Linked DNA regions of Arabidopsis thaliana. The protein of the gene in region 1 interacts with the protein of each later gene in a pairwise test. Each region holds a gene or a part of one and is shown on either strand. Other genes may lie near its edges.

Region 1 (5,328 bases):
ATCCACCAAAATATGAAAATAATTGTAGTAGGAATATTATAATACGGAATGGGAGTTTCACTTGTTAGGGAATATTGCAGTCTTCGCAGAGGAATATACTTTGTTTTTAAGTTTTTTCAACACTTTAATTATTGATCTAAATTTGATTTATTACGTTAAAGCAAATTTGCATTTCGAATTTAAATATACTACCAGTGATTTTAAAAGTTAAAGATCAAAGTGTGCCTAATTAAGTCATGGATATCTCAATTTGGAGATTGTGTAGGTCAAATGTTGTTAGCTTGGTCAAAATCGCTAGGTTCAAAATTGCATGTTAAAAACTTTAAATTATAGTGGTACCTAAAGTTTTGCACCAAAAAAAATATGTGGTACCAAAAGTAGTAATACCATTTATTTATCTCTTTATTTGTTATTGCTTTTTCTCTTTCCAATGTATCACCAATAAAATTCACGGTGTGCAAAACATTAGTTTTAAATGGTATGAGTCCAAACAACAATATGTAATTGTTTAATTTTAGTGCCTCGAACAAAATTTAATGTTTTTTTTTCTGTTAAACGCTCTTCTGCATACACAATTTTGTTAATGGTAACGGAAACAAAAATTGACCACGGGCAGATTAATCTACATCATTCGTTAGATATCATCATTAAAAATCTAGAATTAATTATATGTAAGCAAAAAAGAAGAATTAGCCCTGGACTCTATCCGCAATAATATTTTTTGTCAAATCAGGATTTTTAAAAGCTCTTTTATACCAATAATTGGGAAATAATTTTATTGTTTTGATAGAAAACGGTGGTCAGTATATGTCATTTTAAAATTTTTATATAGTTTATGACTTATGAGACTCTAAAAATGTGTAACAGACTTATCAATTCCGTTAGTGGCATGTCATATGAAATTAACAAAACATATGTATTTTCGTAAAAAACGTGTTTTTTTCCGGATTTGTAAACAAATTCATGTAAGTAGAAATATTTATTATTATTAATTTTTACAACAGCACATTATTTTGACTACGTGACGATTACACGAATCTATCACAGCTTATTAAAGAAAAAACCAACGTAAGATTGATTTTAGTCTGACTCGTCAGACAAAGACTCCAACCATATTGTCATCTTCGTTCCAGGAATCAATGAACTCCATTGCATCAGCTACATTGACCTCCGGCGAATTTTCAATAACTCCGGCGCTGGCATCGCCGTAGCTTAAAATACTCTTTAACTCTTCCATAAACCCAAAATTATCGACAGTCGTGTAAATATCGGAGATCTCTTCATTGTTAAAGAATTCGTTGAATTCATCAGTGAAAGAACAGTTGTCGGAGAAGCCGGAATATGTAGTCGTAGTGTTGATCAAAACTGATGTTGCCGCCATTTTGTTGAGCAATGTGGAGGTCGGAGAATCAACGTCGCCGGAGTTTTGTGAATCTTCGGCGACGGTGGAGTTTCCACTGATGATCCCGGTCAGTAAGTCCCGGTTTAATTCAACCGCGTATTTGCTTGCGACGCGGTTAAGAAGCCTAGCGGAACCGGATGAATATACCGGTTTATTTACTTTTGGTTCGAAACCGGTTTGACCGGTTGAATTGATCGGTTTGTGAGTGATTGCATCGATGCCTTTTTGCTTCAACCGCTTCTTGAGATTTGTGTTCCAATAGTTTTTTATTTCGTTGTCAGTTCGTCCCGCCAAGCTAGTGGCGATTGCGGCCCACCTTCAATAATCAAACACAACTATCAATAAAATAATACTAACAAATATTATTTTATTCTAATGAAGATTTGGAATCTTTATCAAAAAAGATTTAAAAAGTTATGGTTGGCATTTGAGATGAAAAGTAAAGTATTTTCATGCAACATTACACATATAGTAATGATTATCTAATCCAAACTGAATTAAGAAAGAAAGAAAAAAAGAGATACTTACTTGTTACCCTTAAGAGCATGAAGCTTGATGATAGTGTCGTCTTCTTCAGGACTAAACTCTCCTCTCTTAATGTCGGGTCTTAAGTAATTAGCCCATCTCAATCTACAACTCTTTCCACATCTCTTCAATCCTATATACATTTACACACACTATAACAATAATTTCTTTTAATTAAAAAGTAGCTAATATTTAAACCTATATATGACAAAAAAAAATATATACCAGCTTTTTCAGGGAGAGTACGCCATCCACCTTCACCATGTAGGTGAAGATAAGCAATAAGCTTTTGATCTTCCTCAGGAGTCCAAGCTCCTTTCTTTATTCCTTCTTCTTTGCAACATGGTGTCCTCACCATCTCTCTGCTCTTCTTCTTGATTTTATTTTAGTTTGAATACCCTAAGTAGTACGTAAAATCCTAGCTAGAGCTAACAAAGGATCATTAAGGCTCCATGTTACCAAAAGAAAGAACGACTCTTTAATCCTTTGTTTTAAAATAAAATTAACACGAAACGAGGAAAAAAGAAAGAAAGATATGACTAATTAAGAGAATTGAATAGAGCGTCTGATCAAAACTAGAAGACACCTGAAGATTGTACTCACTGAGACACTCTTTTGACGATGAACACGTGAACGTGTTATCATTATATATTGAGTTTAGATACAAAACTATCAATGTTTTTTTTTTATAATTCTGTCTCACACAGATTATAGAGGTGCTCTTATATAGCAAAATTACGAGAGGGACTGCGGGAGAGAGAAAGAACAGAGAGACAGATAAAATGATTAAAAATTATTGCTGTCAAAAAGAAATGATCGATATATCTTTGATGGAGGAATGGTTGGGATTACACGTTCTTTAAATCTTTCTATACACAGGCCACTAAGTCACTGTGGGGAAATGCCACGTGCAGTGTTGTCATTGGATCAGTTGAGCATCTGTCAGAGTTCGCGGTCACACGGAAATGCATATACTGATGAGTGATGACACTGTTCTGATGCTCTTGTCCGTTTTAGTTTGTTTCTTGCGAGATCAAGGAACATTGAGATTTTGGGTAAAAGTTTTTATCGATTCTAGGAGATACGGTGTTCACAAAAATTGTTCAGCTAAAATAATAATTGATTCATTCAATCAATAATTAATGCTACTATCATTATACTATTGCTATTTGTATTCTTTCAAAATAATATTACTGACTTTTAATACTAGTGAAGGTTGAACTATGAGTCCATGACTATGACATTATATTTTAAAATGTATCGGATATTTTATAGCATAGGTCTGGAGGATTTGATTTTAAAGGCACAACCTTTTTTCATCTTTAATTTTATAGCTAGTATGATTAAGGGAAGCTAGTATGATCATTGATTAACTATTAAACAAGGAAAAACCATTTAACAAAAAAAAATGTGATTGTAAGATCACTGATAAATGTATGTCTGGAGGATTTGATATACCAAGAAAAAATGATTGCGGTCTAATAATAATTATAAGTCTACAGAAACGTCTTTTGGGGTGATATACATTTTTTTGGGGTCAAATATCTTAGCAAAAAAAAAGGTCTACCAAATTAAAATATATATCACTTCTTTTGGGATCAAGTATCCTCTACAATGGTGAAGTTATTTGGACTGGTGAACCGGACCGTTGTGATCCAAGACGAATTTATTTTGATACAAAAATCTTTTTTTCTTTGATAATTCAAAAACTCTTCTTTTGTTAGCAAAAATTTGCTTTTTGTGATACAAATTTTTTGTTGGATATTAATTTTATATGGGATGAGGTTTGAAATTAAAAACAGGACGACATATATGAAAACACAAGTTTGTGCTCACCTTTAGTTATAAGTTTACATCCTTTATCAAAAAAAAGTCTTCGTCCTTATATCAAACTATATGTGTAGAATTGTAATAAAAAAAAAAAAAAGGATAGAAAGTTAAAAGGGTCTAAAAACCTTGTGTATGAATTAATATATATGTCTTCCAACATCCGCTATACGAACATATTATATTTTGGATTTTAAGTTCTTAGTAAAAAAGTTATTGCACGTATGTAAACTACGAGGGACTGACGTGAAGATCTCATGTGGTTGTGGTACATGTTGGATCCTTTCTGATTCCCGATGCAATAAGATAAATCAACCCATTGCAAAGCACAAGAATGTAAAATCGAGCAGTTGGAAACCTAAAATTGTTGTCGAAGATAAGCTCTGACAAGATATAGTGCATATTTATAATTCTTAGGAAATTGATAAAACCAACACACACAAAAGATCACAACTTGGTATATAGTTTATTAACAAATGATCAAAAAATACTGGCAAAAAGTATTCCCATGTGATTTTATTGATTTTAATTAGTGAGATAACACGTTAAACTCTACTGTAAAGTTCTTACAAGCATATCTTCTTGAACCAAAAAAAGTTTTTAGAAAAATCAGTTAAGTGGCAAAGTTGTTTGAGATTCTCCCGCAAAGCCTTCAAAGTGAGGAGTTCAACTCCACTATCTAACAATTTGCACCCACTAATATTTTTCCTCTGACAAAAGAATAGAAAGTTTTACAGTTTCTTTTACTGCGTAATTAAACAAAATATCATTTATTAAATATATCATAACAACTCTTTTAGAAAGCATACTCAATAATAACTTTTATAAACCAAAGAAGAGTAATCAAGTATAATATTAGTTTAGTAGTCAGTGACATATGGATCTTTGCTAGAGATTGAAAATATGTAGACTTCAAATATTAATCTGAATTTGGATATTCATCTTTGCTACACAAGAGTCCCATTTAATCAATAATGTATCATCTTGTTCTGTTCTAGTACTTTTCGGCTATATAAAGTATAACAGCACAATGATCCACCACTTGTGGTATTCTTGAAGTAATTCTCACTCACTTTAATTTGGTGGGTAATCTATTTCAAGAATACTCAATTAGAGCTTAAATGATAAAATCTTGTTGAATCATTGGATGCATGACAATAATTCTCGAATATTTTATTTTTATTTTTTAAATATTTTATCAGCATTATTGTGTCATAAGGGGTGGTCTACAATATCGGTTATCAGAAGAGACACAACTAATTAAATATATGCATATCAATTAGAGCTTATATTTTTATTTTTATTCTTTAACAAACAAGAATACATTCAAAATATTTTGTAGATAGACAGCTAATAATAAGACACGACGAACATATTTCTGAAAAGAATGTAAGAGAGATCCACAGTTACACCAACATACTCCATAGTCCATAGGCCATAGCTAATTCGAAGAAGTCCACTAATAGACATGTCGCACGGACACTACACATTTTATGTATCAATATCTGAATCTAAACAAGGTCGATCTTTTGTGAACAAAATAAAATAAATATAAGGTATATCTTTATATATAC
Region 2 (4,914 bases), 1.0 Mb from region 1:
CATAGCAAGAACCTGAAGGCCTGCCTCTTGGTCAGAATCGGAGGCTACGTGTGCTTTGCCAAAGCATCCGAAAGCAAAAGGAATTCAAACAACCTTCTGATCATACACACCACAAAGAATGACAGTCAGACAGTAAAGAATATTCGTAGATAAAAAGGAATGCAGCTAGACACAAGCAAGATAAGCTTGAACCTACTTCACATCGTGAACTGACACTGGAAATGTTATTTCAACAGTGATAAGTGATAACCCTTTTTGTACATAGAGCATCCAATTTGGAAACATTGGGTACTATAACTAATAACAACACTTCAATGACCCAAAAACACTCTAATCTCAAACTCAAGAGTTTCTCAAAGCAGAGAGGAAAAATAAACGGACATGTATTAGATAGCAAAACACTCCGCCAAAGCTGAGTTTTATACTTATGGACGAGGGCGTGCTAATACATAGATTGTTTCTACTATTACGAGAGAAAAATCTACCACCATCCTTGTATCTTTTAACGCAAGTCTCAATTTTGGTGGTGGAGTCATATCTTTAACCCAAGTCTCAAAAAATGTAAAATCAAAACTTGCTCTGTATACAAAGTAACAAAATTTCTCACCTGATTGCCTAAATATATAAATATTAATATGAGAATGTTCCAAATGGATAGTATGACGTCAACTTTGCTACCACCCCCACCAATTCTTAGTGGGTGATCATCAACTTTATTAGGTTCCAGTGAAGTGGGTGTAAACTCAATGATTTGGGATTCTATTATCCTTTTGTTTAATCCACCACCTAAACCATTGTTAGGATGAGTAATGAAGCCTCTTAATTGTCTATTTCAGCTACAGAACAAATGCTATTTGTTTAGTTGGGTTCTCCATACAAAAGTTGAAAAACACTGTTCTCTACTTTGCAATAATAGACTTCATCACCGACTAGCTTTCACAGAAGCTTTCACCATATCCAGACCCCCAGATGATAATCCAAGGAAGTATCTGCTGCTCATACCAAACGGAAATGGCACCTGCAATGGAAGAATATCATATGGGAAAGAGTTAACAATTCATCAGTTGACAAGGAGAAATGTTTGTTTCCTTCTCTTTTGTAAAAAGATCAACTATTGAAGTATATTAGCAGTATCAGTATGTACCCCAATAGACCTCTGCCTTGCCATATCCTTGGTGTGACAGATAAGACGACTTTTGCACCTTGCCTCATAACTTGAACAGAAACGGCTTGTCCCTGGTTAGACTGAGCTTCAGCGGCAAGCCTTTGCAACAGGTTGTCACCACCCTCCACGTTGCCAAATTTCAAAACCTGATCTCCAAGCTGTAATCCACCCTCTGCTGCTGGAGATGACTCGTTTATCTCATCAACCATTGCAAAGGGAATACTAGTAACCACATCCACATCCATGGGACCGGAAGTAACACTGAAGCCAGATGTCTGCATGGAGGCAGATAAAGAATTTACTGCAGCACCTGACAAGCTTGTTTCTTCTGGACCTGCATCATTATCTATTCATAAGCTTTGTATCCACCCACGTCGTGCATATGGTTTCAAACTATAAAATGAACTTCTATTAATCATAGCCTTAAGAAAAAGGACCAGAATCAGAAAAGATGATTAAGCCAATCAAAGATTCCAAGCTGAAATTTGGAGCTTCTTCCTGTACAGTCATACCTGAATCTTTTGTGGATGAAGCTCTAGATGTAGGCCTCACTGAATGAAGAATTTGAATGTTCACATTTATCTTTTCCGTTATCTCCCCGTGCTCACTCCTTAACTCTGTGTGGGTGTAGAAACTATTTCAGATAAATAAACCAACTCAAAACGGAAGAAGTAGGGAAAAACTTAACAACTGGTTCACTGTAGAAGCTACACATCAAGCTTGATTCCTTTCAATCTCATTTCCAGCTCACAAAACTATGAATAAACCTCAAGCCAACTAGCCAAGACAAAAACCTAAACTACATATAATCAGTATGATTCTGCTATGTTTCCTAAGTTTAAACTAACCTTGGAGTTGTAGTCTCACCCTAACTATGGACTAATTCAGCACAAGAAAAGAGAAATCACCAGCAAGACGACGGCGCTCAGTTCTCACCATGGGAATGTCAATATCTTCCCGAGGAAATCCCTGCCATAAGCAAACGAATCAAAGGAGAAAATTAAGCAGAATTTTCGGTTAAGATTAGAGAAGAGTGAGGACGCAGATACAGTACCTCCGAGTCGATGAGATTGCCGGAGAGACCAGGACCACCGGGATTGCAGAGACGTTCGACAATAGAGTTCATCTCCGTCTCCATGGCTGTTCTCTTGTCCATTAGAGCCATCGTCTCCGCTTTCAGATTCGCGCCAACCATCTTCTCTTCTCTTCTCCAAGTCCGATCGATTCTTAATTCTTTCACCGAAATCAATCGCAACTTCTCTCTACCTTGGGACCGGAGCATGTCACCGTGAATATATTGTGGGCTTCATTAAAAGGCCCAATAGACCCATTCTTTAACCGGCATATGATCCTAACCGTACATTTATTAAATCCAACGGCTATAATCTCTTTGTTTCTACACTTCATATATTAATTTTACAGACAGCACAAGCAGCTTTAAAGCCAAGCAATATTTGTTTATCTCAACCGTAATGATTCCCATAAATTATAAACAATAATGTCTACAAGCTGCTCAATCATCAGTCAGCAGTGAAATCAGGCTCAGGAGGCTTCTGCAGCTTCACCAAATCCCTAATCTTTGTGTTCCGGTTCCTGTGAATGGTGCGAAGCGCATTAGCCGCAAACTTAGTGGCAAGAAATGCAGCCCCAATGGAGTATGAAGGTCCAGCGGTTGAGCTGGACACAGCCGCGGCCTCGGCTTCTGCCTCTTCCATTTTCTTCCTCTTGCAGTATCTACGCCAGGCAGCCTGGATGAAACAAGCAGCCCAAGTCCTCCATTGGTGAGAGTAAAACCTGAATGTGTGCTGCACTTGCCTGCTATGTAAGCGCCGGAACTGGCTTGCTACAAACTTCAGCTCCTCTGAGGTCAGCGCAAACGCCTCTACTTCTGTCAGAGCTTTCACGGTCCTCGTGGAAGACGGGAGATTTACACCTGATTTTGGATCCAATGCCCATGTCAGAAGCTCTTCCCCGCAGAATTCTCCTTCTTTCAGGAGACTGCGGTTGAAGAAACCGCTCCTGCCTCCATCTGTTGTCACACTCTCGAGGCGACCACGTATTATGAATAGCATCTCGTCTACAGGATCTCCTTCCCGCACTAAGTAGGTACTCTCTGTGAACAAGCATGGTTTCAGCCGCATACAGATCGCATCCAGCAGCTTGTCGTCCATGCTCTTAAACAATGGAACCTAATATTATGGTAAAAACGTATCATGAACCAAGCTAGCTTGTCGATGGTCAAGAGCTCGTTTTAGTTATGAGCCGACTGTTATTCAATGGGTCCTAGATGTTCAAAAGGGTGTGTGATCTATGTGAGAAGCTTGAATAAGGAACAGCGGGGAGAACTTACCCTTCGCACTAAAGCCAGACAGAGATGCCGCTTGATGTCTCTCCGGAGATCCTTGGGAAGATTCTGAACGAGATACTCTTCATCTACACCACGTGTCTCCAACCATTTATACTGGTCATAGCGCCTCACACGCTCCCTAAGATCTTGTGGTAACATTCTGTGATGCATCCATTGTTCTGAATCACGCCTCTTTACTCTCATTTCTTCAAGCCGGATGGTAAGAGATTGGAGATATGTCTGTCCCAAGATTGCAAAATGTTGTTAGATAGTCATTATGCAGAGGAAACAAATTATGCATGATGCTTCCATTGAAAGAGCTTACAAGAAATTTCTAATGATCACGAAAGTAGCTAAGGTTGCACCATAATTACTCACCTGCATGTTTCCAATGAGAAGAGCAAAGAGGATCAACCCAGAAATGGCGAGAGATATGGAAAATATAATCTCCATTGGGTATGTACTGGTTTCAAGCCCTTGTCCAAGTGTACTGTGGTGCAACAATGAGAAGTACTATATGAATATCTGAAACTCATAGACGCATAACTTTGATAAAGGAGCCGAGTTTAGTGAGAATTGGTAAGATCAAAGCAATAGTCTTTCGACTGAATAGTGATAGAACATGGTTACCTCAAGTTCTGAAGGCCCCACCACAAACAATAACAATATTTTACGATGAAGTTTTGGGACGAGACAATTCCAGACGATAAAGCCTGTGTATAAATCCCAAAGTCAAATGGAGGATTATTATCATCGAGGTCAGCTCGGCACTTGGACTTAAGAACAGATTCCTTGGCTCTGTTCCAAACAGCATAGCCGTCCATGTTTTGATTGCCACAGTACAAGAAATCTGTGCTGCAATTCCCTGCATCTATACAGGCCTCCTGCCAGCAGGCGTCGTTACGTTCTAAGGCTAAAAGGTACCAAAAAGCTCCAACTATCTGCAAGATACGAAACAGTGGCTCAATCAAAATAGCACTTACCAAGTCAATACTATTATTGAAGAGTAAATAAGCTATACAATCAGAGTTGCTCGTCATAAGAAACTTGACATTTGTGATCCCATGAGGCATGAACATCAACTAAGATAAAACGAAAGGTTGCATAGAACATCAAAGGTAAGCATAGACGGCTTAACCAGAAAGCTCAATAAGCTCCTTTACATGTCTTAGGAAACTAAACATTTGAACATAAGTTCATAACAGTGAAACGGATATGCAAATATTTCCTTGTTTTGCACTTTTGGTGCCACAGTCACATAACTCATGGTGAATGGGCAAGCATTGAATAGTACAAGCAACGTCTTAAAATGAAAAAGGTATATAAACTCACATGACTTGCAAGCATATATAAAAGCAGATAATAAGCGGCACCAGCCCAAGCCGTTTCAGCAAAGACACCT

Evidence for each region.
Region 2: the proteins of MYB34 (region 1) and AT5G57950 interact in a two-hybrid assay, tested with the Arabidopsis thaliana proteins (one large-scale study listed by BioGRID).

What each region holds. Positions count from the first base shown.
Region 1 is NC_003076.8:24,491,986-24,497,313, reverse strand, and holds MYB34 (myb domain protein 34), read right to left. Parts: upstream 3,024-5,328; 5' UTR 2,286-3,023; coding exon 2,153-2,285; intron 2,061-2,152; coding exon 1,931-2,060; intron 1,719-1,930; coding exon 1,094-1,718; 3' UTR 943-1,093; downstream 1-942. UniProt on the Arabidopsis thaliana protein: Transcription factor involved in tryptophan gene activation and in indole-3-acetic acid (IAA) and indolic glucosinolates (IG) biosynthesis. Acts as a direct transcriptional activator of both Trp synthesis genes and Trp secondary metabolism genes.
Region 2 is NC_003076.8:23,458,211-23,463,124, reverse strand, and holds AT5G57950 (26S proteasome regulatory subunit), read right to left. Parts: upstream 2,453-4,914; 5' UTR 2,448-2,452; coding exon 2,220-2,447; intron 2,135-2,219; coding exon 2,074-2,134; intron 1,783-2,073; coding exon 1,678-1,782; intron 1,500-1,677; coding exon 1,145-1,499; intron 1,019-1,144; coding exon 997-1,018; 3' UTR 737-996; downstream 1-736. Other genes in the region: CNGC5 (cyclic nucleotide gated channel 5), read right to left, coding at 2,686-3,354, 3,516-3,752, 3,891-4,002, 4,143-4,453, 4,845-4,914.